Linked DNA regions of Mytilus edulis. The protein of the gene in region 1 purifies or fractionates together with the protein of each later gene. This does not show direct contact. Links are inferred from orthologs where the notes say so. Each region holds a gene or a part of one and is shown in the gene's direction. Other genes may lie near its edges.

Region 1 (8,367 bases):
TTTTTTTAATAGGGCTCTTCACGGTTAGTTTGGCCATATTGGATAGGGGCAGATTTTTTGAAAGAGGTGGAAATAGTATGAAAGTATGGGAAATTCTATGCAGGTTTCCAAGCAACTGCTCTGTTTTAATGATGTTTTCACATATTTTTCACACATTTTTACCAGAACCATGAAAATCTGCCCCCCTATCAAATATGGCTGAACTGTGAAGAACCCTATTTGAACATGTTACAATTTTGGAAGAAAACCAATTATCAGTTGATTAAAAAAGGATAGCTTATCTCAATTTTCTTATTAATTAAAGTTGTTTAGTTTGTGGTTTGATAAGATTTTGTAATCATGTTTTTACCTTAAACATTATATGTTTACAATCATTTTAGCAACCCTGTTTTATTCATAGTTTTATGTTTTTTTTAATTTAACTATGTCATGTTAATAATTGAAAGTGGTGAATAAATATAGCTTTTGCAAAGAGCTGGCTAAAAAGAAATTGACTGAGGAAACCTTCTAAAATGTAAACATCAAAATACCTTTTGGTCTTGGCTGTTTAGGTGCTGTATAAGTTAAAGATTCATTACCACCTTGGGAACTCTGCTTATCTATACCAAATAAATTTGCTAACCTTGATCTGAAAAAAAAATTAGTAATTACATATTCAAGTTTTATATTGCAAACTGTGAAATATTGATGATTGGTCTTGTTGTACATATATATAGCACAAATTGGATTCAATATGTTCATTCCTGCGTCAAGCAGATTTTTTTCATTTTCAGTTTTTAGCTTAGCACACATCATTGAGCTATGTTGGGTCATAGCATATACTGTCTACTGATCAGATATGAGTTTACTGAGTTAAGAATCTGATGTGTAATCAGGGCTCATGTTACAAGGCGACTGGAGGCAAGCCTAAGGACTTAGAAGTCTCATTCAGATAGCAATACACAGTAAGAAAAAAACTTAACATATATATACATGTACATTGATATTTTTTGCCACAAGTTACAGCTGAAATTCGGCTTTTTCCCCTAGAGAAAATTCCCAATTACTAAAAATAAATGGCTTAAAACTCCTCCCAAAAAAGTTTTACATTTTCCCCAAACAGTGTTGGCATTGGTAGGAATGTTTGTAAATATCATATTCATATTATTATTTTGATCATGTTGATATTAGAATACACTTTTGAGATCCGGTTTTCTGATCAGAATCATCATGGTGTAAACTTGTAACACCTGGGGGTTTAAATTCATTAAGTACCATCTTTGCTTCTGTTTCTTTCCCCTCTCCGAAAAACTACCTTTCAGGTTGAAAATGTCAGACAACCAAAATATACATGAAAAAACAGTACAAAAAAGACAGCAAAGGTCAGCAAAAAAATCGGAGATATGTGTTTAGAATAAAATATACAAATTTCCCAATTTCATTAAAAAATATGCATTTCCATATTTTTTTCCAATAAAAAAACGGTAGAGGTAGTTTTGAAAAAAGACAACAATTTCACTGATGTAATTAACACTCATGATTTGAAACAATCCTCTTTCAAATCTTTCCATTGCTTTCTAACAAAGTATGCTTACTGTTTGTCATGTTTGTGTTATGTAAAAAATGTATGTGCACATGTATGGAAAAAGCATCTTCCATAGATTTTATTTTGAAGGGTTAAAATGGAGAAATATAATCTCTTTGATAAAAAAATAATGCAAAAAATGCAAAAAGGAGGTGAAAATTTGGTCCAATGTAGAATTCATCCATTTGAATTTTTTTTGTTGGAAAGCTTTGCAATAATTTCTGGATGGGGTTGGTTTGACCCCCCCCTTTTTTTTTTAGGATCAATGCTTTTGATTGCGGACATATGATGATGATTGGAACTCCCCTTTTAAAAAGGGATGGATTTGACTCTGCTTTCATTTTTGAACAAGAATGTGTCCACAGTACACGGATGCCCCACTCGCACTATCATTTTCTATGTTTAGTGGACCTTGAAATTGGAATAAATTCTCTAATTTGGCATTAAAATTAGAATGATCTTATCAAAGGGAACATGTATACTACGTTTCAAATTGATTGGACTTCTACTTTATCAAAAACTACCTTGACCAAAAACTTTAACCTGAAATTTGCACTATCATTTTATATGTTCAGTGAACCGTAAAATTGGGGTCAAAACTATAATTTGGCATTTAAATTAGAAAGATCATATCATAGGGCACATGTATACTAAGTTTCAAGTTGATTGGACTTCAACTTCATCAAAAACTACCTTGACCAAAAACTTTAACCTGAAGCGGGACAGACGGACGAACGAACGGACGAATGAACGGACGAACGAACAGACGGACGAACAGACCAGAAAACATAATGCCCCTCTACTATCGTAGGTGGGGCATAAAAATTCACAGGAGCCCTGTCAAAAGCGATATGTAGTTGAACAGGCGTTCACAACAGTGGATTTCATCTGCGTTTTTTCAGTTTTAACCAAGTTCATTTCCATTTTTGTAGAGAAATTCAAAGAAAAAACAATTTATTTCTTAAGAAAAGAGGTGAAAGCATTTACCATGTTTACTTTACAGATAGGTTGTATGCTATTTCAACGAAACAACTTTATCATGATTCATGTTTATATGACATATATTTTCTTTAACCATGTTAACTTACGGTAATTGTTACTCAAGATCCTACATCAGTGTACATCAAAATATTGCTTTTTAGTCAATAACTCGATCATTCAGAAAAAAATAATTTGATTTTTGTCGATTATACCTCAACCGTAACATTCATGCCATTGGAGACTGATTACAATAAAGGACTGCCATCAAATAGGCCAATCTCTCACGAAATATTGCAAATGTAGAAGAAATTACAGAACCCTTCAATCAACAGTACATTGTGTACATGTACAACAACAAGAAAGTAATGAAATGAGAAGACAGTTGGAGACATGACTAACCCTGACAAATGTGCAAGACATTTCAGCCATGAAACCAGTTTAATTTGGCCTTGATAATTTCAGTCCTTATATACATGTATATATATAATTAATATTTTTTTCATAACGGTTCTATATCTGTTGATTACAATAATAATATCAAATGTAATTTTTCTGTGTATGTGATATAGACTTTTATAATAAATATAAGTATGATGATGAATACTGGAAATATATCAGCCTGCATTTTGGGGCCTGTTATATCTGGCTTTGCAGTATGAGTTTTGCTAGTCCACACAATTATGACATCTTGTTTGGCTATTTTAATTTTTAATATCAAACTTGATAAAATTTTACAGACCAGAATTTCCTGATAATATAAAAAGAATGTTTGTAAATTTTAGTCAATCAAATTTTAACAAGTTTGATTTTTGGTAAAATCCAGAAGTGACATATTTTTGATAATTCTGGGAAACCATTTTGAAATACAAGAAAAATATTTGCCCACTTCAAATGGAATCGTATCTTGTCATTTCTTTTGGATATTTCTGGAAATATTTCGCATCAATAAACACAAAAAAGTCTTTTTAAGTAACTATGCAAAAATTACTAAGCAGCAATGAAGATTTCATGCCAAAATTGGGTCTCAGAGTTCCCCCAAAAATTCTCTCTTAAAGTCCAGACGGAAAAAAAGGCTTTGGTGTTAAGACGTTGTAGGAAGACGTCACAGAAAAAAGGAGATTTCTCACAAAAAAGGAAGACATCACAATTTAAAAAAAAGAAGCTTTTCAAGACGTCATAATTATTTGGACATGGATTTTGCTCATTGTTGAGGGCCGTACTGTGACCTACATTTGTTAACTCCTGTGTCATGTGGTCTCTTGTGGAGAAATGCCTCAGTTGCTTTTACTTTTATAACATGGCCGAATTGACCAAGATTATATCAACCAAGGCCGAACAGGCTCCTTTGCCGAAACGTCTTTTTTTCCCTGACTGATAGTCATAGAAATTATTTGACATGTTCTTCTTTTTTTCTTTGCATGCATATGCCCATATATTTTCTACATTCAACTAACTTAGACCCTCCGGACACAAAATCTTGATCGTCATCTTCAGCACTGAAAAACATGATGCATTACTAAACAATTATTTAGAAACATAAAAATATTTTTTTTGGAACTGCCCTCCCGGAAGTCATATGAGACCGAGTAGAGTCAGGTGATTAATTGTTTTCGTATTTGATTTTCGAAAGAACAACCGATATAAAAAGATGTATTTTTTGAATTGAGAATAAACCGATATTATTAAAATTTTTTTTAACTCATATATTTAATTATTTGATAAAAACTACACTTAAAGTTCGAAACAGGTTGAGGTTAGTTGTTTATGTCACCTGTTGCACTCTTGGAACGTATGTTGCATAATTGACATGTAGTGTTTTGGATGTTGGTAAAACTATAGTGTAGTTCCGAATCAGGAAATAAATAGTTCAAATTCTCAATGAAGAGTTGGTGTTTCCTCATAAGCAAATTTTAACCTTTCTGATTTTTAGCAACCCTCAGAACTTTGCTTATTCTTTCTTGGATCCCGGTTGAGAGTAAAACTTTGTATAGTAAACAACTGCAGGTACGTTTTGAAAGACTTAATTTGTATTATTTTTGGAATCAAGATCTATGTTTAAGCTAAAAACTTTTGTTTTAAAGATAGCCTGTCCAGTTATTGTACTGTCAGTGTTGATTTATTCAGGATTAGACTTTCATGTAAGCCATAATTTTAACCTGCACACATGTACATGTATACAATATTTAAACAGGGGATACATTAGCTGTGGAATGGTTCCACAGCTAGGTCTGCAAATAGTAATAAAATAACATAAGAACCTTAGAGCTATGGTTCCGCAGCTAGGGAAACAATGTACATATGAACTATGCCCTCCAGAATTTTATTTAGATTGAATTGGTGCAAGGTTAGGACTGATTAGATTATGATGAAACCATATCAAGAACAAAAATGTTATCTTTAGTTTGACACTTATTGCTGGAATGTTCGGTTGGGTTAGGGACCAAATGAATGTAACAGTATTATTTGTGTCTCTGATTTTGTTGTGGTATTGTTACTTTGATGCATTCAATATACAGTACAAATAACGCAAACAGGTTCCCAAACTCCCTACACCACGATTATTCTTGGTGTGACACCAGGTAACTCTGATATCCCTCCCTAAATTCTCCAGTGAAATTAGAGAGTATTCCCTCAGACTTCCTCTTAAATCCACTACCTTTTGTTTATTACAATGTACAAATGTACATGTTTATTAGCGACAAATCTCCCAGCACAGTGTCACACCAGGTAATTAATTGCCCAAATCCTTCTGATCTATGCCAGCACACAACAGTCAAGGTACAAAATGTATATGAAATTTCTTATGTAATTTAAAAATTGTATTTCCTGTCTATTTATAAACAGGTTATATATCTAATGCAAATGGCTTGAAACCAATAAATATTTTAAAAAGGCAAATTGTTGTTAATTCTTTCAATTACATTGTACATTTAAATTTTTAAATTTTATATAAAAAAAAGAATACTTGATTTTGACCTCATTTATTTTTTTCACCAGTAAATTTATTTAATTTTTTTTTTTTTTACAAAAGAGATATATACATGTATGTATACTTGTGTAAAAATAAATGGAAACTACTGCTGAATAAACATGATAAATGTGAGCAGTTTAAAGAAAATTACATGTCACAAAGTTTTGTACACAAATGAAAAAGGAAATATAATTCACCATTCGTTCTACAGGCAGTACAGCATTTTCTTTTTACGATTATCTAATTGCTCGAAAAAAATTAAAGATTTTAAAGCCAAATGTTGTTGTTAATTCTTTCAATTGCATTACTAACAGTTAAAGTTTTATAAAAAAAACTTTACCTAATTTTGACCTCGTTTTTTTCATCGGTAAATTATTCTATTTACAAAAAGGGACATACTTGTGTAAAATTAAATGGAAATCTCCGCTGAATATAAAATGTGAGCAGTTTAAGGAAAATTATGTGTCTCAAAATTTGTATATAATACGTACATGTATATATATATATGCAAGTTAAAAAGAAAATACTATTCAACATACGTTTTGCTTAATAAGTCTACAGCATTTAATGATTCTTTTAACGATTTATTGGCATTACTTTACGATAAATTATACATTTCGACTACAACAGGTAAACTTCCATAGCTGCATCAACTAGTCGTTGCATAATTTCAATGAAGTTAGCTGCATCAACTAGTCGTTGCATAATTTCAATGAAGTTAGCTACATCAACTAGTCGTTGCATAATTTCAATGAAGTTTATGACTTCTGACAAGAATTATACGGCTTCACTAAACATCCAACATCCTCATGCTAGTGACATAATCAGAAAAAAAATGTATTATATGCACAAAATATGTTTATTTTGTATAAAGCATGTTGTCAAGCCATGATATGTTGTTCTCTTCTCCAACAATAGAAATAGTTTTTTTTCTCACCTCCTCACCCAGTTTTCTTTTAGCTTGCATTAATTGGCTTTCAATAATTAAAGATTAGGATATTACATCAGCCAGGTCTGGTAACAAGCATTATACTGTTCAAAAGGTTCTTTCATATCACTCAATTTCAAATATCTATTTGATGAGTATTTTAATTTTTATGATGAATTCATTAAGGGTTACTCCCCTTAAATTTGTGTATTGTGAAATTCAACTGCTGGAAATTATGTTTATTCCTCAAAATATTTGTAACTTTAAATTATTTTACGTTGACAAAATATTGAAATGGAGTTCAATGCTATTTGGTAAAAATAAAATTGTGGATATGGATCTTCAATATTTTTAGTGATTTCAAACCAGGATTTTTAAAACATTACACATAGTACTTTTAAGATATACCCTAATGTAGTTTCTATTAATTTATTACTGGCCATGCAAAACCCTCATGGGTAGTCAAGGTGTTATAAACCACCCTCATCATTTACCATGTTTACTATATATTATACATGTATAATGCAAACATATTATGAACACATGATTTTTCTAATTCACTTATCTAGCATAAAAAAAGGCTTTCAGTCTGCCAATATAATATACATGTATAAAAAATGTATGTGCACACATGTAAAGTTAATAAGAATGATTTGATTGTCAATGAGGCAACTTTACCATATATATATAGAGACAAAATTACATAGAGTTTACAACTATAGGTCACCTTTCAGTCTTCAGTAATGAGCAAAACCCATACTTCATGGTCAGCAATATAAAAAGCCCCATAATGACATGTAAAACAATTCAAACAAGAAAACTAATAGCCTGATTTATATAATGAAAAGCTTGACTCATCAGATTGGTACTAAGTGCAAAAAACAAACAACAGCCTGATTGACTTTTGGTTTCCTGTTAAGCAATAAAGTTAAATGACAATTTTAATTGCATAAATTAGTTTGCACAATTAATCACTATTTAGGGTCCACTTGACAGCTTGGGTGTCTATTCCTGTATTGTACCTACTGTTTAATAATTTCTAATTTATAATATCAGCCAAAAGTATTATAAATGAAATATTAATGCTTGTTTTTTTAAATTTAATATTTCTACTTGGTCATGTTGGGTTGAAAAGTCTTATTGGTAAATTTTATTACTTTAGGTAACACCAATTTGATCCCTTGTTCGACAGACCCGCCCGCACCTATTTTTTTCAAAACAGAATTTTTATATTTTTTTTATATTCCCGCTTCCCGCATCCGGAATTGTAATCATGTCCATTTCCCGCACCGTTTTTTTGTGTAAATATTATAAAAAGATATCAACATTTGTTAAATTTATCACAGTCTAACCTGTACATGTATATAACGATTTTAAACATAAAAGCACCCCACCACACTGTGTAAATATCTGTGAGAATATTTGTTTCAGCATGAAACCTGGGAGTGCTCCGATAAAAAGTTATAACAGCGGGTATTTCCGTGAAGAACAAAAAATTGGTTTCTTTCCCCCTTACTTATATTCCCTATCAAAAAATGGTCGTTGTTAGAATAAAGTACAAAGAACTTCTGAAGGATTTGCCTTCAACTGCAATTATATTGTATGCTGGCGAAACAAAACTATCTATAGCCGCTGAATGTTTATGCACCTGTCCTGATTGATTCAGGAGCATGTCGTTCAGCAGTTATCGTTTGTTGATGTTGTTCATTGGTATTTTCCCGTTTGGATATATAAATTAGATCGTTGGTTTTCCTGTTCGAATTGTGTACGCTAATAATTTTGGGGTCCTTTATAGCTTCCTGTTTGGTCTATCAAAGCCCTGTGTAAAAGGCCGTACTCGACCTGTGTTTGTTATTATCAGGTTGAGAACAACCCTCCCTCAGACAAGGGGTCATTTTACTGATGTAGAAAAGAAAATAGAAA
Region 2 (8,749 bases), on another chromosome or scaffold:
AACCCTAGAATGAAATCTTGATTTTGCAAATTGTGCAACACTCAAACAGTAATCCTGTTAAACTAATGTGGCAATTTCTCCTGGAAATAAGACTTAAGCAACATATGTATCGTCCCCGTTTTGGTCTCGTCATACTTGTAGATATTTTATTTGGTGTGTGCTCTACAAATTCATCAATGTCCCAACCATCCCCCTTTTCCCATAAATTGTTCATATATTTTCCAAATCCTTTTCCTCTTCCCCAAAAATAATTACACATTTAGATAGAACAAAAGAAGGGAAATTTAAATCGGGAGTAATTTTACCTTATCATCTGCCATGTTCAGAGGATGGGGATCGATTTATTTCACGTTTTCTGGATGCTGAAAATGGCGCTTTCGAAAGCCTCTTGGCTCGCTCTGAAAAGTGTTGCAGAAATAACTGTATATTCTACAAATAATGAAAAAAATGTAGTTCGAGCTCTGTTGAAATAAGACAACCACTATTATATCGTCTGAATTTTGTCCCTTCCTTTGTCGTCGTTTTGAAAAGTCATCCCCATCTTTTTTCTAAGTACAAGATTTATCTCCCTTGAAACACGCATAAATAACGAATCGGACGCGGTAATGGGGTGAAATATCCGCAATTACGCTAAAGAAAAAAAGCTGTTAAAGAGAGGGCCAAGGGGTTTAATTAATTGTAATGACAAAATGCCAATATGCTAAATATGCTGTTTTGTGGAAATCTAATTCTTCGTTTATATCTGTTATTCTGGAAATATGTTTTTTAAACATGTTAAAGTAAAGTAATCTTTATTTAAAGTCTGGTTGCCTATACACAAAAACAATGAACATGATCTCTTAGAGCTCTTTAAACCGTCTGAAACCTGTTGTTACCTGTTATTGGAATATTAGTTTTTTTGTTATCTGTTCTTGTATTTGCTGTTAACTGTTATTGGAAATTGTAATAGTAGCACTTTGACAGCTAATCTTAGGTAGAAATTGAAGAGCATCATGAACATTGGGGTCCGAAGTTTTCACTATAAATATGGTGGTCATAAATTGGCTAATTTGGTAGGATTTCACGAACATATGTGATCATAGGTCATATGTCTTTTTTTTTTAAATTTTGTATTAGCTCAGGAACATATATATTCAATTGACATACTGTTCCCAGATCAGCTGCTTTATATATCTGCTGTTCTAAGTATTTTATCTGTCACCCTATGTTTAAGAATTCGATTCGATCTCCGATCCGATCCGATCCGATCCGATTCGATGCGATGCGATTCAATTCAATTCAATTCAATTCAATTCAATTCAATTCAATTCAATTCAATTCAATTCAATTCAATTCAAATTTCTATTCAATTCAATTCAACAATTCAATTCAAAAATTCAATATTCAACAATTCAATTCAACAATTCAATTCAATTATATTCAATTCTATTCAATTATATTCAATTTTCAATTCAATTCAATTCAGTTCATTTTATTCAACACGTTATTTTGAAATTGCCTCTTTGTTTAAAGTATGATAAATACTTTGGAAATTGGTCCCCATTCAAATTCAGAAGACATTTTGATAAACGGCTTAAACTGAATGGAACATGCACTGAAAAGGTAAATATTCAAAAGCTAGATAAGAATATAGACGAAACAAAAACGGGTCCAACTCGAGTCGGGATAAAGGGACTGAGAGGGGGGGAGGGTTCAAACCATGTGTCCCCATTCAAAAGCATTGATCGTAAAAAAAAGTTGTTCCAACCCACTTTACCTTACCCTCTGGATCCGCCACTGCTACACATGTTGTTCTTGTGGAGAGTTGTCTTATTGACAATCATACCATGTCCTCTTATTTTTATATAATAGCTCTTTGTTTTTCTTGTATATATGTATATATGTTCGTCCTGAATATGCATGAAGTATTTGCCACTGGACGTTAAGCAACCAACAATCAATCAATCAATATAAACAAGTGCCATCTGCCACTTTTCTCGATTTTTTTAACCCCACTCGGTTCAACGAGTCTACATAAGTTTTAGTCACGTCAGTAAATGTTAAAATATTAGCAGATTTATCTTGACATGTTTCAATGTATAAAATGTTTAGGCCATATTCAGTACATTTTTTAAAAACATCTATTTCTATTATATAGTGTAGACTATTATAGAGAGGGGATATGACCTTTATCGGGACTCCTGGATCGGGCGTTTTAAGCTCGTGATTTCGGGACTGACCCTTTCGGGATCTGGCAATTCTTTTTTGGAATTTCGGGATGTCGGGATTTAAATTTATTTAAACTTTCGGGACCTCTGGATTTCGTGTTTTTAATCCCGGGATTTCGGGATCCCCTCCTACCCCCCGCCCCCTTTCCACATCCCCATTTAAACTTTCGAGGTCGGATTGTCAGACCGTCATACAGAGTCAGCGGTTCCGTCTCATAGTTCAGACTTAATGTATATATAAAGTCCCTGCAGAGAACAGCACCCAAAGCTGAGCTGAACAATAACATTATTTTTTTTATACAATGATAATGATGATTGCAATGATTGTTTGAAACAATTGCAGATGAAAAAAAAAGTTTAAAAAAAAGACACAATATGATTTCGACGTGGTTTTCACATGATTACAGAGTGTCCTCTTCTCATGATAGCTGCTGCTAATATGAAACAAAAGTTCCAAACTGAAGAAATTTTCGATTATGTTATAATTTCCACTGGGAGAAATGATACAGAATGTGTTCCTTACAAAATAAATGGTAAAGAATATTTGTTACAATAGGAACTGATTTCACGGCATCATTTGCTAATAACCAAAATTTTCAGTGAAACTTCTGTTAGGCAAACAAATATATGTTGACTGGCTATATATATACAGCCCTCGGCCGCATGCGCATGCATGCATCAGCGGCACGGTCGGATATGTTTGTGTTACTTGTTTTTGGCTTTGTCTCGATCCGACGAATTAGGTCTTTTTTTAACTGTTTTTATAGTTTGATCATATTTTGTACTGTTACACCAATGTTCCAGATTTAACACTGCCACAGGTACCTATTAAATGTAATGAATCTGAAATTAAGTGGTTGTCGTTTTTAATATTTTGTATTTCGTTTTTTTCACTGTACGAAAATCACGGCGTTAGTTTTCTCGTTTGAATTAATTTTTTGTAAAACATTTGTCATTTCGAGACCTTTCATAATTGACTATGCGGTATGGGTTTTACTCATTGTTGAAGGCCATATAATCTTCGAATTCGCTATAGCCAAGGGTTACAATATTACAGTATTGGCTGTGGTAAATCATGTAAATCAAGGACAATCTGTCCAAATTACAAACAGTCATGCCATAAATGTGGCAAACAAATTCATTTCAGTTATGTACGTCGAGTAAGGGAAATAAAAGTGTGTCACAAGTGAATACACAATAGGGATTCGATCCTTCTTTAGTCTATAGAGTTGGCACAAGGATGATAAAAATCAAAATAATGAAAATTACAAACAACCTACAAATAAGGAAGTATGTACAATTATTTCTTTGTAGGTTCAGACAAATATAGATAAAAATTAATAGACCGGTGGTTTTCCCGTTTGAATGGTTTCACACTAGTATTTGTTTTTTGGGCCCTTTATAGCTTGCTGTTCGGTATGAGTGAAGACCGTACCTTTATTGGCATAATGGTTTACTTTTATAAATTGTGACTTGGATTGAGAGTTGTCTCATTGGCACTCACACCACATCTTCTTATCACTAAATACACAGCTTACGTCATGTGCAACACTAAAACTAAGCTGTGATAGATACAGATGCAAATATTTCTGTCATATATAGAAATCTCTTGAATCAAAATTCATATGATAAAGTGCCATTGTAACCTAAGAAAATGAAGCCAATAGAAATTTTGTGTCAGTTCGGGGCAAACTACAAATTACCAGGCAATAAGGGGCAGCTACCATTTGATTTAAAAAGGGAGGGGCTATGATGAAATTTTTAAAAGACAAGACATGAGTTTTGAGTACGAAAAGCAGGATGAGAAATTGGCAAAAAAAAAGGCAGGATGTCAATTTAATTTAAAAAATTCATGATAAACTTATAAAAGAGGCAGGACCGAATAGAGTGAAAATAAATGTAGGACAGAGATTACAGACTCATTACAAATACAAAAAAATGCATTTCGATATTTTAATCTATATAGGTGTTGATTTCATGAGTAAAAACGGAGCTTTCGTTAATTTTCAAGATTACACTTAAGGGTACGGGTTGAAAGACAATCCAAATGTTGTTGTCAGTTCTATTACTTTAAACTCATGGGTTTTCAGTTTTTCGAATCAAAAAGGTGGTTACGCTTCCTTGCATCTTTGCGGAGAGGGGGAATGGATCATAGTGGGGCCTTACGGTGACAGTTATAGTTGTTAATTTCTTTTTTCATTTTGAGATTTTGTCACTTTAATATGGAAAATCAAACCACATTGTCTTATTTTTTTTATTGAAACAGGGGTTAAAGCTACGAGATATATAATAAAAAAAAATGATTTGTTTTGGTTCGATCATTACCGGTAATGAAAGTTAAATAATGAAATAATAATTCGCTGTTAGCAGCCAGTACGGTTCAATTTTGTCAAAATTTAGCTAAGAAACATTGATGATGTTTTGTTCACTTGCTAACCCCTTAGATATAGATATAAATAGATTAAGCAATTAACTCATTCAATTGGATTTTTATAGGTGCATTAAATTTTGTGTTATAGATTAAAAATGTATTTTTATCGTGTTTTTTTTTTCCTTTACAAGAAATTCTTTTTGTGGATCGAATCAGTCAATCAAATTATTTACCTTTGTTTCACTTTCAATGTTGACATTTTTTCCTTTTAAAAACAACCGTACAGAGGTCGAATTATTCAATTGCAAGTGAATAATTCATTATCAATGTTTATTAGCCTTTTAGCTTAATTTGACAAAAATTTAACCATTTAAGCTGTTAAAAGCAAATTATTATTTCACTATTTCACTGTCATTATAAATGATTGAACAAAAAAAATCATACTTTAGATTTTTTAAATATCTTGTAGCTAGTGTCCCTTTAAATGTGTACATATCATATAGATATATTGAACTTTGAACTTTATTGAGAATTGTTAGCGGTTATACGTCAATGAAATTGATATAGTTTCCAGTATGCGTCACAAGTTGAAAACAGAATTCAGAAATATTAATTTTCAAAAATCCGCGGGAAATTACTTTTTTTAACCTGTCCGATCCCTTACTTTTTCTCGCGAGACTTGTGTCAACATCGCGTGATGTAATATGGATGACGATCGGCTGAATTTTGACACTTTTGACAGTTTAGAGTGATTGTTTTGGATTATTGATAAATTACAAACGCTAGAATGGGAGGAAAAGAATCAAAATTATCTTATATTCCTTACGAGGAAGCTGTCAGACGATGTAAGAAAACAGTTTGATTGAAACACACCTTATAAATATTGCAAATTTATGTTGACATTTTTTCGTCTGTAAAATTAATACATCCTGTTGATCAAGAAACACATGTAGTTGCAATCTTTTACTTGTCTACATATTCAGACTCAACATACAACATTAAAAATGACATGAGTTTGAAAATATTTTGCACGTAAACATGATTTTACGTTATGTGCTTGATAACTGACACTAAACTGAATCATTAAATTACAGGGAGGAAAATTCCTTCAGTCATTCAGTGAATTAATACACGTTATCGCTTTTTGTCAGCCATTACTGGATATCACACAGGTTCCCGTATAATTTCGACTTCTTAAACTGTTAAAACAAAATATCTGGCCCCACAATAGACGTACAGTACGCAGGGGTGTGGACATATTTGTTGTGAGCACTTGTCCCAATGGGACAGAAACCTAACAGCAAACCAACCAATGAAATGACATGTAAAGGACAATTTTACAGCAGTTTTTGAATAAAAATTGTAGCCAGTAGGTACATATACTAAATTTGAGGACAGTGATCGAAGAAATGTACACTAAATAATAGATAAACTATTGATTTTGTGGTGTTTCTCTCAACTGACACACCTGTTTTATTCTCGATTATTTATTATTGCCTTGATAGGCAATTAAAGCGTCCCTTCTATTTTCCACTTTGACAACACATAAAGTTGACCTTTCATCTATAAATCATTTGTAAATAAGACAAAAACTTAATTTATTTTCCGAATTTTCATAGATAGCCAGGGGCAATCTGATATCCACGATGTCTGAAATTCTCGCTTCTGTTTTTTTTTTTAAATACTCTGTGTCCTCCATTTGCATTTAAGGTTTTCTACTCGACTTATGACTATTTTTGTCTTGCTTGCCCACCTTTTTATAAATCTGTATCTCGATAAAAAATTTAAAGAAATGACACTTCCGGTAAATGATGGATAAAACCTAATCGACGATCCTGTGTCAACGGATAAAGCCAATGCAATAATATGCGACTCGGGTTCGCACACTTATTTTTATTTATTTTGGTAATCGATCTATTTCCGGTATCATGTTATATTTAAATTATCATGAACATTATGTTTTTACTTGCTGAACATTGGTTTCTTTTACATAAATTAAACATCTTTATACGTTTTGAAATTAATTTTATGTTTTTGTTGGATTTGAACTTTGTTTTGTATATTTTATTACTTGTCCAAGGGCAACCAAGACAAAAATAATTACTTGTCCGGTTGTTCAAATGTACGAGTCGGGCGAGTCGGGCATAGCATTTCCACACCCCTGGTACGGGTAGAGACTTATTTCTATGGATGTCTTAATCCGTCTAGTTGTCAGACTAGTCGGACAGTTGTCCCAGTGTAATAAACACCTGCTGTGCAATATCCAAGTGGAAGGTCGTAAATCAATCTGTACCAGCTTGATTAGAATTAAATTTTACCTGTACAGATATATTAGTATTTATGGAGGATAGATAAATGTGAAATATTGTTTTGTATTCAAAGAGAAAAAATTAAAATTAAAATTAAAATTAAATATCGTGAACATGGGATTTTTTTTTATTACTTGAAAATGAAATAAAGACGATTTTTAACAATGTATTGTGTTGCCAATTATTGTAATAGTTTTGTGCCAGAAACATTTTTTGTATTTGTATTTGTAAACCGTAAATATTTCATCTAATTCAAAATTATAACAACCAGGACTGTTTTCAATCGAAGTTTTAAATCAAATAGTTGAGACATCAATCCTGTAACTTATATGAGTTTTCGTTGATGGTTATAGTATTTCCCCCTTTTAACGTCCTATTCCTTTATATATGTTATTATTAGAAACACAATTTTAAGTATAAGGCCAACATATCGTATTTATAAAATATGTATACATGTAGGCATTGTGAATAAACTGTTCTTTCCCTTTTGATACAACTTTCCCCGTCGGAGCCTCTACGTCTATTCACACCTGTCAATCATTTGTCGCAAGTAAAACATTTTGGTCAGACAGATCACTCATGCTTTTATTTTGACATATTTCTCGTTAATCTCTTTGAAACTAGTGTTTTTTTTTAATACAATATTTATAACGCCGTGATTATATTTCGATTCCTATTTTTTATTTAAAAAAAAATTGTTGACACTCGTTGTATTATAACAAAGATATTGCCTTTCTATTTTCATGTTTGAAATTTTTATGAAAATCGCCGGAGTTTTTTATTATAAATATATTTTACGAATTGTGTCAATCGATACACGAAAATCAAAGTTTTACACTGGTCATGATCAGCTGTCTTTACTTTTTGGTCGTACTTCTAGTCATTCTGCAGCTCATGCAGTCAGTAAGATTTTTTAAATCGATGTATTATTTCCGAATGAGGAGGTCTCCAAATAAATCATTTAAATGGGAATCCGGAAAATGACTGATAAATATAATACATAAAATAGTAAAAGAAGACTAAATCATGTTTTGATTATACATGTATATAAATCGATTAAATTTCTATTCTGGTAAATCAATTGCAAATGGATCTCGATTAAGAGCCTCAAAACTATAAAAGCACAATACTGTCAATCATTCCACATCAAATTAAATCATGAATGGATTTTCCTACAGTGGTTCAGTAAGGTCACCTGTGTTTACTGTTAAGATATTTCCCGCCATATAAAAATCTCGTGCAGTGGACAAAATCGATCTTTAAATATCTTTTATTAGCATTCAATATTGTGAGTGAAGTCAAGTTAAAGTTCAACCACGTGCACACGCTGTTGATCACTAATATGTGTATCACGAAATTGTCTTTTCACGGCAAATATTTTTTTTTAGATTGCTGTCAAAAATATAAAATACAAGTTTCCAAGTTAACATGGATTGTGCCTAAATTAATATTATGCAATTAAGTTCGGGATTTCGGGATCTTTTTTCTAATTTCGGAATGTTGGGATTTTTTTAATTTAAATTCAGGATTTCGAGATCCGGACCCCTCCTACCCCCCGATACAGCTCGGGCAAATATTTTCTTCAATATCTTCTTCTAGTGTTATTATTTGCGTTCTATTTTGGGGGTTTCTTTCTATTTTAGTGATACATCTCCAACTTTCGGAAATATTTGTAAATTCACAACTATAAAGAATCGTCAAGCTACTAGTATACAAGTATTGCTCACTGTAATTATTTTTTATCTCGGAAACGTATGCAGCAGCACTTGAGACAGCATTCTGTCAATCAATGGATTTACGTGGAAAATAAATCAGTAAAACAAAAATAACTTTCCAGATATAGAATAAAATTATGTTTAAAA
Region 3 (8,355 bases), on another chromosome or scaffold:
ATACTTTATGCAATAGGTCTACTATATTTGTTGTATGGAATGGTTGTAAGGTGTACATGTCTAGCGGGCAGATGTCATCTGACCTTGACCTCATTTTCATGGTTCAGTGGTCAAAGTTAAGTTTTTAAGTTTTGGTCTTTTTATCTAATATTATATGCCAAAGGTCAACTATATTTAGTGTATGGAAATATATTATGATCTATATGTCAGTCCCACAGGTTTTATTTGACCATGACCTCAATTGCAAGGTTCATTGCACAGTGTAACGTTTTTGTGTTTTGGTCTATTTTTCTTAAAGTATAAGTAATAGGTCAACTATATTTGTTGTATGGAAGCTTTGTTAGCTGTACATGTCTGCCTGGCATGGTTCATCTGACCTTGACCTCATTTTCATGGTTCATTGGTCTTTGTTTAGCTATCTTGGTTAATGTTAAGTTTATGTGACAGTTGTAATCAAGTTTTATACTTAGGACTATCAACATAATATCAATGATTAGTAAAGAAGGCGAGACATTTCAGTGTGTGCACTCTTGTTTCTGGTTGGTGGTCTATTAATAAAAGCTTGATCATCTCTTGTTTTGAAGGTTGTTTGTTTGGCTTGGTTGGTGGTCTAATGGAAGCTTGATCTTCTTTTGTTAAATGTTGTTTGTTTGGTTGGTTTGGTTGTCTAACGATAGTTATGCTCATCGATCATCTCTTGTGTTGAAAATTGTTTTGCTCGGTCAGTGGTCAAATTGTAGCTTGATCATCTCTTGTGTTGAAGGTTTTTTTGGCTGGGTTGGTGGTCTAATTCTAGCTTGCGCATCTCCTGTTTGAAGGTTTTTTTTTCAACATGTGCCTATCAGTTTGACAACTATTTTGAAGTCATGCCTTTGAATGGTCTAGTGTCTTTCAATTATTTACCAATTTTCAGTTGTAAGTTTTCTGCTTGAGTTAATTTAACGGGAAGACCCATCACTTGTTAAAAACACACACAGTTACAGACTGTGACACCAGACCTTCCTAACAGCGTAGCAAATCAAAAACACAACTGGCATATCAAACCATGAAATGATAGTTACAGACTGTGACACCAGACCTTACTACCAGCGTAGCAAACCCAGAAAATGCTATATTTACTCTTAAGACAAACTGCAACAACATTAAAGAGGAGATTTCACTAATATCAACAAAAATCCGACAGATGCAGGATCTTCGAATAAACGCATAAGGAATGAGTGACACCCTCAAGTGAGAACTCTTTTTAAAGAATGGACAAACACATCCCATGATATCTTAAGAAATCCGCTCTAAGAACATCTTACCCTAGATAAACCAAAAATTAAGGAAACTGTTAAAAAAAAAGGCTATACCAACAACCTAAATGAACTTACCCGCCGCATGTTTGCGAACATGTTTAACCATGCTGCATCTTTGCACCTGACTGTCCAACGTCAGGAGCCTCTGGTCTTTGTTTGATTGTATGATTTTTTATTTCATTTCTTTGATAAATCTCATAGTTTAGTATAACGTCTGTTATCACTGAACTGGTATACATTTTTATTTTAATATGGCAGCTGAAGCATGCCTCCGGTTGCGGGGTTTTCTCACTGGATTGAAGACCCATTTGGGGCCTTCGGCTGTTTTCTGCCCTTTTGTCAGCTTGTTGTCTCTTTGACACATTCCCCCTTTCCATTCTCAGTTTTATAAACAGTTGACAAACTACAGACAGTTCCAAAAAGAAGTGCAACGGGAAGTCAGGAAAGCAGAATACTCATCCATCAATGATACTATCATCAAATGCCTACAAAAGAAACAATACAAAGCCATTCTGTAAGTACATCAAATCCACGAAAAAAAGATAAAATTGGAGTATCACCTTTAAACAAGAATGTGTCCAAAGTACACGGATGCCCCACTCGCACTATCATTTTCCATGTTCAATGGACCGTGAAATTTGGCAAATTATCTAATGTGGCATTAAAATTAAAAAGATGATGTCATAAGCAACATGTGTACTAAGTCTCAAGTTGATTGACTTCAGCTTCATCAAAAACTACCTTGACCAAAACCTTTAACCTGAAGCGGGACAGACGAACGAACGAACGAACGAACGAACGAACGAACGGACGGACGGACAGACGAACGGACGCACAGACCAGAAAACATAATGCCCTTCTACTATCGTAGGTGGGGCATAAAAACAAACAGAAGAAGGTCTGTGACAGCAGAGGAAGACTGAGAAATTTTAATTCGACCATTTAGATCACAAATGACAAATTTCAACATCGATGCCTAAAACAACAAAATAGCACAGCTACTTATAACCACTAAAGTCTCGAAAAACTTCTCAAAGATGTAAACTCATCGAAAGAATCTGGACCAGATGTTATCCCTAACAGAATTCTTAAAGAATGTGCAACAGAAACAGCACAAGCACTAACTGCCATCTTCCAAACATCAATAGACTGGAATACTACCGAAGACTGGCTCAACGCAAACAGTTCGTGTGTTTTCAAAAAGGGAGACACACACGCTGCAGAAAACTAATCTCATAAACATGAAATAGAATAATCGAAAAAATCAAGTGAGAAACAATACTAGGTGTTTTGACCATAGGTACTTGTGGACAGGACAATCTTTATTTTTCTTTTTGCCCTCTCCTGAGACTATTATAATAGTATACTAGTATAATAGTCCCAGCCCTCTCCCTTTTTTACAACGTTGTTTTTCTGTATCATAAGAACATAACTATATCAACCTTCATCCTTACCTGAAACAGGGAAATGTTAGAATTACTGTTCTTAGCCTGAAACAATATTTTAATATCACAACATAGAAAGACACTAGATGGCAAAACATTCAGAGTGAAAATCGTATTTGTACTTCAAGTTGTGCAATTCCAGTGACATTGGCGACGAGTTCCATTATATTTTAGCATGATCGGCAATAGACGATAGTAGACAACTGCTACTAAAGCATCATTTTATAAACAGACCAAATATTTTAAAATTTCAAGGTCTAATGAATAGTAGCAACCCGTCTGAACTAAACAATCTGCACGTTTATAAGAATTATTATCAAATGCCTAGAATCTCCTGGGTAACCACTTTATGTCTCTACTTTACATTTATATTTAAAATTTATACTATGTTAATGTATTTGTATATGTTTCTGTATCATTGTACTTTGGTTTATGAGAATAAAGATATATATAGCCATACTAATCTCAGGAAAGATGGACCAAGCAGTCTGCATGGAATGCCAAGCCAACTGCCTCTATCTACGACTAGATTAGCTGCTTACGTCTAATTATATGCTTAAAGACCTTGACAGGCCTGAGATCACAGCACCGCCTCGTTTACTACCTGTTTCTAAGCCTTGTACAAATAACATTGATATTTCGAGACAATGTATGGTTATTCTATATGTATTCAAATTTTACGATATATGATTAAAAAAAAAGTTAATGATATATTTCCGATTTTTGATAATCTCGTCTTAAGCTGATACCTTACTGAAACAATTTAATCTCAATTTTTTTTTTTTTTTTAATCAACTTATTTTTACCTTTTATCCTTGGTTTTTTTTCTTTTTCTTTCATATTTTAATCCTTTAACTTATTAAACATATGGTAGAATCACCCCATTGTCTCATTAAAAGGAATCAAAACGTTTTTTAAATCAAAATTTTTAACTTAGGTAGAATTATAAATGATGTAAATAGCACTAAATATACACTTATTTTTGAAATTCACAGTCTTACCTGTATATAAAGTTTTTAAACTTAAGCACCCCACCACACTGTGTAAATATCTGTGTAAATAAAATAGGCACTGGCTACGGTTACATGGAAATGTAACAATAATAAAAATAGTATTGTTACATTGGAGACTAAATGCCGGAATGCATGGTTGGGTAAGGACCTGTTTAATTACGAATGTAACAATAATTATTGAGGCTACGGTTACATTGCGTTATTGTTACATGAAAAAAAGCAATGTACGATGGGACTAGTAATATGTACTAAATAATAAAAGTTGAGGACATTTATTACATACATTTATAACATACAATTTATTTACTGTAATTTTTTATTTACAATGACAATTTCTACAAATCCAGTAAGTTGTTTTAAAGTCCGACACATTTTTGATGAACGAAATTACGTCCTCCACGGATAAGTGTACATACAGAATTTCTTAGTATTTTAAAAGTTACAATTAGCAAACTTTGCTTTTGATTATCAATTTGCGTCAAGTTATAAAGCTGTATGAAATGTATGTCTTGATATTGTTTCAGTTTCGTTTAAAACGCATCCCAAGTTTTATTTTTTTCACCATAAACAAAATTGGTCCAAAGTATAATGACAGTAATAAGAGTAGGTGTGCAGTTAAATACTTTAAGAAAGTGAAACCATTGACTATATTTTTCGCCTTTGACAGTCACATTCCTAATCTTGAGTAGTATCTTTAAGAACATCAAAACCATTAATACGTAGTTAAACTATTCAAGTTGTACACCATTTGTTGAATAATAATATTTTATTATTTATCAGTATTAAATTACAAGTATTGTTTAGTACATATGAAAGAATGAAGCAGTTCAACTATAGAAGATTTAAGTTTTATCAATCTAGCGTACATTGCTGTATTTCATGTAACAATAACGTAATGTAACCGTAGCCTCAGTAATTATTGTTACATTTGTAATTAATCGGTTCCTCACCCAACTTTGCATTCCGGCAATTAGTCTCCAATGTAACAATAATATTTTTATTATTGTTACATTTCCATGTAACCGTAGCCAGTGCCAATAAAATATTTAATCCCAAGTAGGAGTGTTCCGATATATATAACGTGGAATATACCTGTACAGAATAGAACAGAACAGATTGGTTTCTCTTCCCTTACTTATATTCCCCGGACAGAAAAAAATCTCTTTCTTCAAACTTCTTCAATATTTGGAATATTTGGAACGAAAAAATACAATAAAGTTGCGGATGGTGAAATGTAAGCTCATTTAAGAATTGTTGTCGAAATACGTCTCTTCTGTAAGTTTATCAGGTCCATGATACTAATAGGCCAAATAAAAATATGTATGTGATTCCAGTAACCCTACCGTCCCTACTTTTTCGGCTTGAAAATAGACTACCCAAAAGATTTTATTGTCATTTTTCATTAAGCACTAGTACTGTTAAAGTCAGAATGTTGCTCCCATAGACTCAATGTAAAAAAAACACCATAAAATTAAAAAAAATCCCTACCTACCTACCTGTTCAGGACTGTGTTCATTAGACGTTTGCGGTACCGCTATGTATTGTAACGTCACGCTACTTATGACGTTGAGATTTATGTGCAAGATGAGTTTAGAATCATTACAAGTAGAAACAGCTAGTATTTCTTATTGTGCCTAACAAGTCTTATAAAAACATTTTAAGATATTGGTGCCGAAGGACCAAGATGAGTTCCAAACTACGTTCGATACGTGCAGGACACAGAAGTGTTATTTCCCGACTTTTGAAGAAATTTGAGGACATCCGAGACGACGGAGATGAGCCCGTGAACACTGAAGAGTTAACTAAAATTGTGAACAATCTGTTGAAGAAACAAGAGACACTACAAAAATTAAATGAGGACATTCTAGAAAATCTTGATGAAGGAGAAGTAGAAGCCGAGATCGTCGATTCAGATGAGTATGCTTACACATTAGATGGAAAAATAACGCAAATACAAAAGCTCATTCTTGTCAATACATCCGCACTCAATACAAATGCAAAAGATTTCGTCAGTTATAGCGGCCCTTCTCATTCCGCCCCTGCTCAGCCCGCTCATGATCAGTCAAGTTATGCTCAACCCGCTCATGATCAACAAAGTTATGCTCAACCCGAGAGATACACTAAACAGAATACATGTAATTCAAACTTCCGTGAACCGGAAACTCAGTTTTCACGTAGTAACACTAGAGTAAATGAGTACAACAAGTTGCCCAAATTGAATCTTCCTACCTTTGATGGTAATATTATGCAGTGGCAGTCATTTTGGGATTCATACGAGACATCCGTTCACGAAAACACTACTCTTGGAAACGTTCAGAAATTTAATTATTTGAAGTCACTACTCCATGATGAGGCATTGAAAACCGTCACAGGGTTTGCGCTTACACATGCAAATTATGAGAAAGCTATTTCTTTACTGCAAGAAAGATATGGACAATCGCATGTAATAAGACAGAAGTATATGCAAGCACTAGTTGATATACCAGCCCCTAAATACACGATATCTAGCATGAAAAACTACTACGATGAAATTGAGATACACATTAGAGGTTTGGAGTCATTAGGTCAAAGTGAAGACACATACGGAGCGTTTTTAGTGCCCATTATTATGAACAAACTACCCGGTGAAATCCGCAGAAATCTTGCCAGACAATATAGATCTACAGATTTACAACTGAATGAATTACGCCGTGGAATTTTCGATGAACTTTATATTATGGATGCAGGCAAAACTTCAGAACAGTTAGAATCCCCTACAGCTACCGCCGCCTTTCTGACAAATACAAATTCTAGTAATCGAAATAGAGGTAACAAGAATACAAACGCAAGTAACACTAAACCCAAGCCACACTGTGCGTACTGTAAGGAGCCACACTCGCCTGTTAATTGCACTAAAGTATCTGATTACAATAGCCGAATGTCAATCGTGAAAAAAGACCGCTTATGCTTTAACTGTCTAGGACACCATAGCTTATCCGCATGTAAATCTACAAAAACTTGCAACAAGTGTCACAAACGTCATCACACCAGCATTTGCAAAGACAATGTTAAAACAAATGAAGACAACACACCAACAGGGGATGTAAGCGTAGGCACAATTCAACACAACGCGGAGGAACCAGACATTGTTTTACACTCACAATCGCCAGATCGTGTACTTTTGAAGACAGCAATTAACCCAGTAAGTGCAGAACATGAAATACTTGATGCAAAAATATTGTTTGATGAAGGCGCACAGCGGTCATTTATCACAGAGGAATTAGCCGAGAAATTGAAACTCAAGCCTACTGGAACTGAAATCGTTAACCTATCCGGATTTGGAGACAATGCAAATAGTACTAAAATTCGCCATTTGAGAACAGGATTGGTATATCTCATAACTACAGATGGTAAACTGCCGATTCGAGTCTTGATCGTTCCAGAGATCGCAGCACCGATGAGAACCTATGTACGCCAAGCAGCAAAACTTACATATTTGTCAGGAATCAAATTAGCTCACCCAGTAACAGCAGATGAAAACTTTGAAATTTCTATTCTAATTGGAGCTGATTACTTTTGGTCAATTGTTCAGAATGATATTATCCGAGGCGAAGGACCGACAGCTGTTCAATCAAAAATCGGATACTTGTTGTCTGGAACGCTACATTCACACAACTCTGACACAGAAGGATACAAGAGAGCTTCAATGATGAACGTGATGATCGCAACAAAAACCGATGAGTACGACTTGGAGAAATTTTGGAAAATAGAGTCACTGGCCACCGAGAAAATTGACACCACAAAGTTAGAAGAACAGATAGATATTCAAAAGACTTATGAAGAGAAACAAATTTGTTACCATGACAACAGATATTTTGTAACGTTACCATGGAAAGAGGATCACCCTACGTTACCGACAAATAAAGCCATTGCACAACGAAGGACGGAAAATGTAATAAGAAGACTTAGCAAAGAACCCAAACTACTTGAAAAATATGGAGAAATAATGGCAGAGCAGGAGAAAAGGGGCTTCATAGAAAAAGTGGATACTACTAATGAGACCGATGAAACTAGCAAAATACACTATATTCCGCATCATGCTGTGAGAAAAGATTCAACTACAACACCAATTAGGGTCGTATACGACTGCAGTTGTAAAGCAACACCAGAATCGCCTAGTCTTAATGATTGTTTGATGACTACTCCACCCAATTTAAATGACTTAGTCGGCATTCTTTTAAGATTTCGTTTACACCAATTTGCCGTTACTACAGAGAGTGCATTACTGAAATATTTTGATACAGCAAGAGACTTATTCACTAGAGCAGGATTTAACTTGCGCTCATGGGCTTCAAATTCTCAACTTTTGCGAAACCGCGCAAATTCACACAACGTATTAGACAAAGATGAACCCATAAAAGTGCTTGGATTGAGATGGAACACTTGTAACGACACACTTACTTTCGCCAAACCGGAATACCAGATATTGAAGATACACGTCTGACAAAACGAGAGATTTTAAGACAATCGTCGAAAATCTATGATCCACTCGGACTTATTGGTCCAGTTACTGTGCGTAGTAAGATTCTTATGCAGACTTTGTGGGAGAAAGGATTAAAT

What was found.
Region 2: the proteins of high affinity copper uptake protein 1-like (region 1) and ubiquitin carboxyl-terminal hydrolase 32-like purify together in Homo sapiens (co-immunoprecipitation; 3 studies listed by BioGRID and IntAct, with this or other methods). This does not show direct contact. The link is inferred for Mytilus edulis from reciprocal best matches to the Homo sapiens genes SLC31A1 and USP32.
Region 3: the proteins of high affinity copper uptake protein 1-like (region 1) and galactosylgalactosylxylosylprotein 3-beta-glucuronosyltransferase 3-like purify together in Homo sapiens (co-immunoprecipitation; 3 studies listed by BioGRID and IntAct, with this or other methods). This does not show direct contact. The link is inferred for Mytilus edulis from reciprocal best matches to the Homo sapiens genes SLC31A1 and B3GAT3.

The regions. Positions count from the first base shown.
Region 1 is NC_092345.1:7,926,961-7,935,327, reverse strand, and holds the start of high affinity copper uptake protein 1-like, read left to right. Parts: upstream 1-4,585; 5' UTR 4,586-4,596; coding exon 4,597-4,683; intron 4,684-8,367. Other genes in the region: FK506-binding protein 15-like, read right to left, coding at 531-628, 4,000-4,052.
Region 2 is NC_092349.1:11,630,616-11,639,364, reverse strand, and holds the start of ubiquitin carboxyl-terminal hydrolase 32-like, read left to right. Parts: upstream 1-5,247; 5' UTR 5,248-5,365; coding exon 5,366-5,423; intron 5,424-8,749. Other genes in the region: ran-specific GTPase-activating protein-like, read right to left, coding at 306-320. UniProt on the Homo sapiens protein: Deubiquitinase that can remove conjugated ubiquitin from target proteins, such as RAB7A and LAMTOR1.
Region 3 is NC_092346.1:96,234,275-96,242,629, reverse strand, and holds the start of galactosylgalactosylxylosylprotein 3-beta-glucuronosyltransferase 3-like, read left to right. Parts: upstream 1-4,834; 5' UTR 4,835-4,990; exon of another isoform or gene 4,991-5,031; intron 5,032-8,355. UniProt on the Homo sapiens protein: Glycosaminoglycans biosynthesis. Involved in forming the linkage tetrasaccharide present in heparan sulfate and chondroitin sulfate.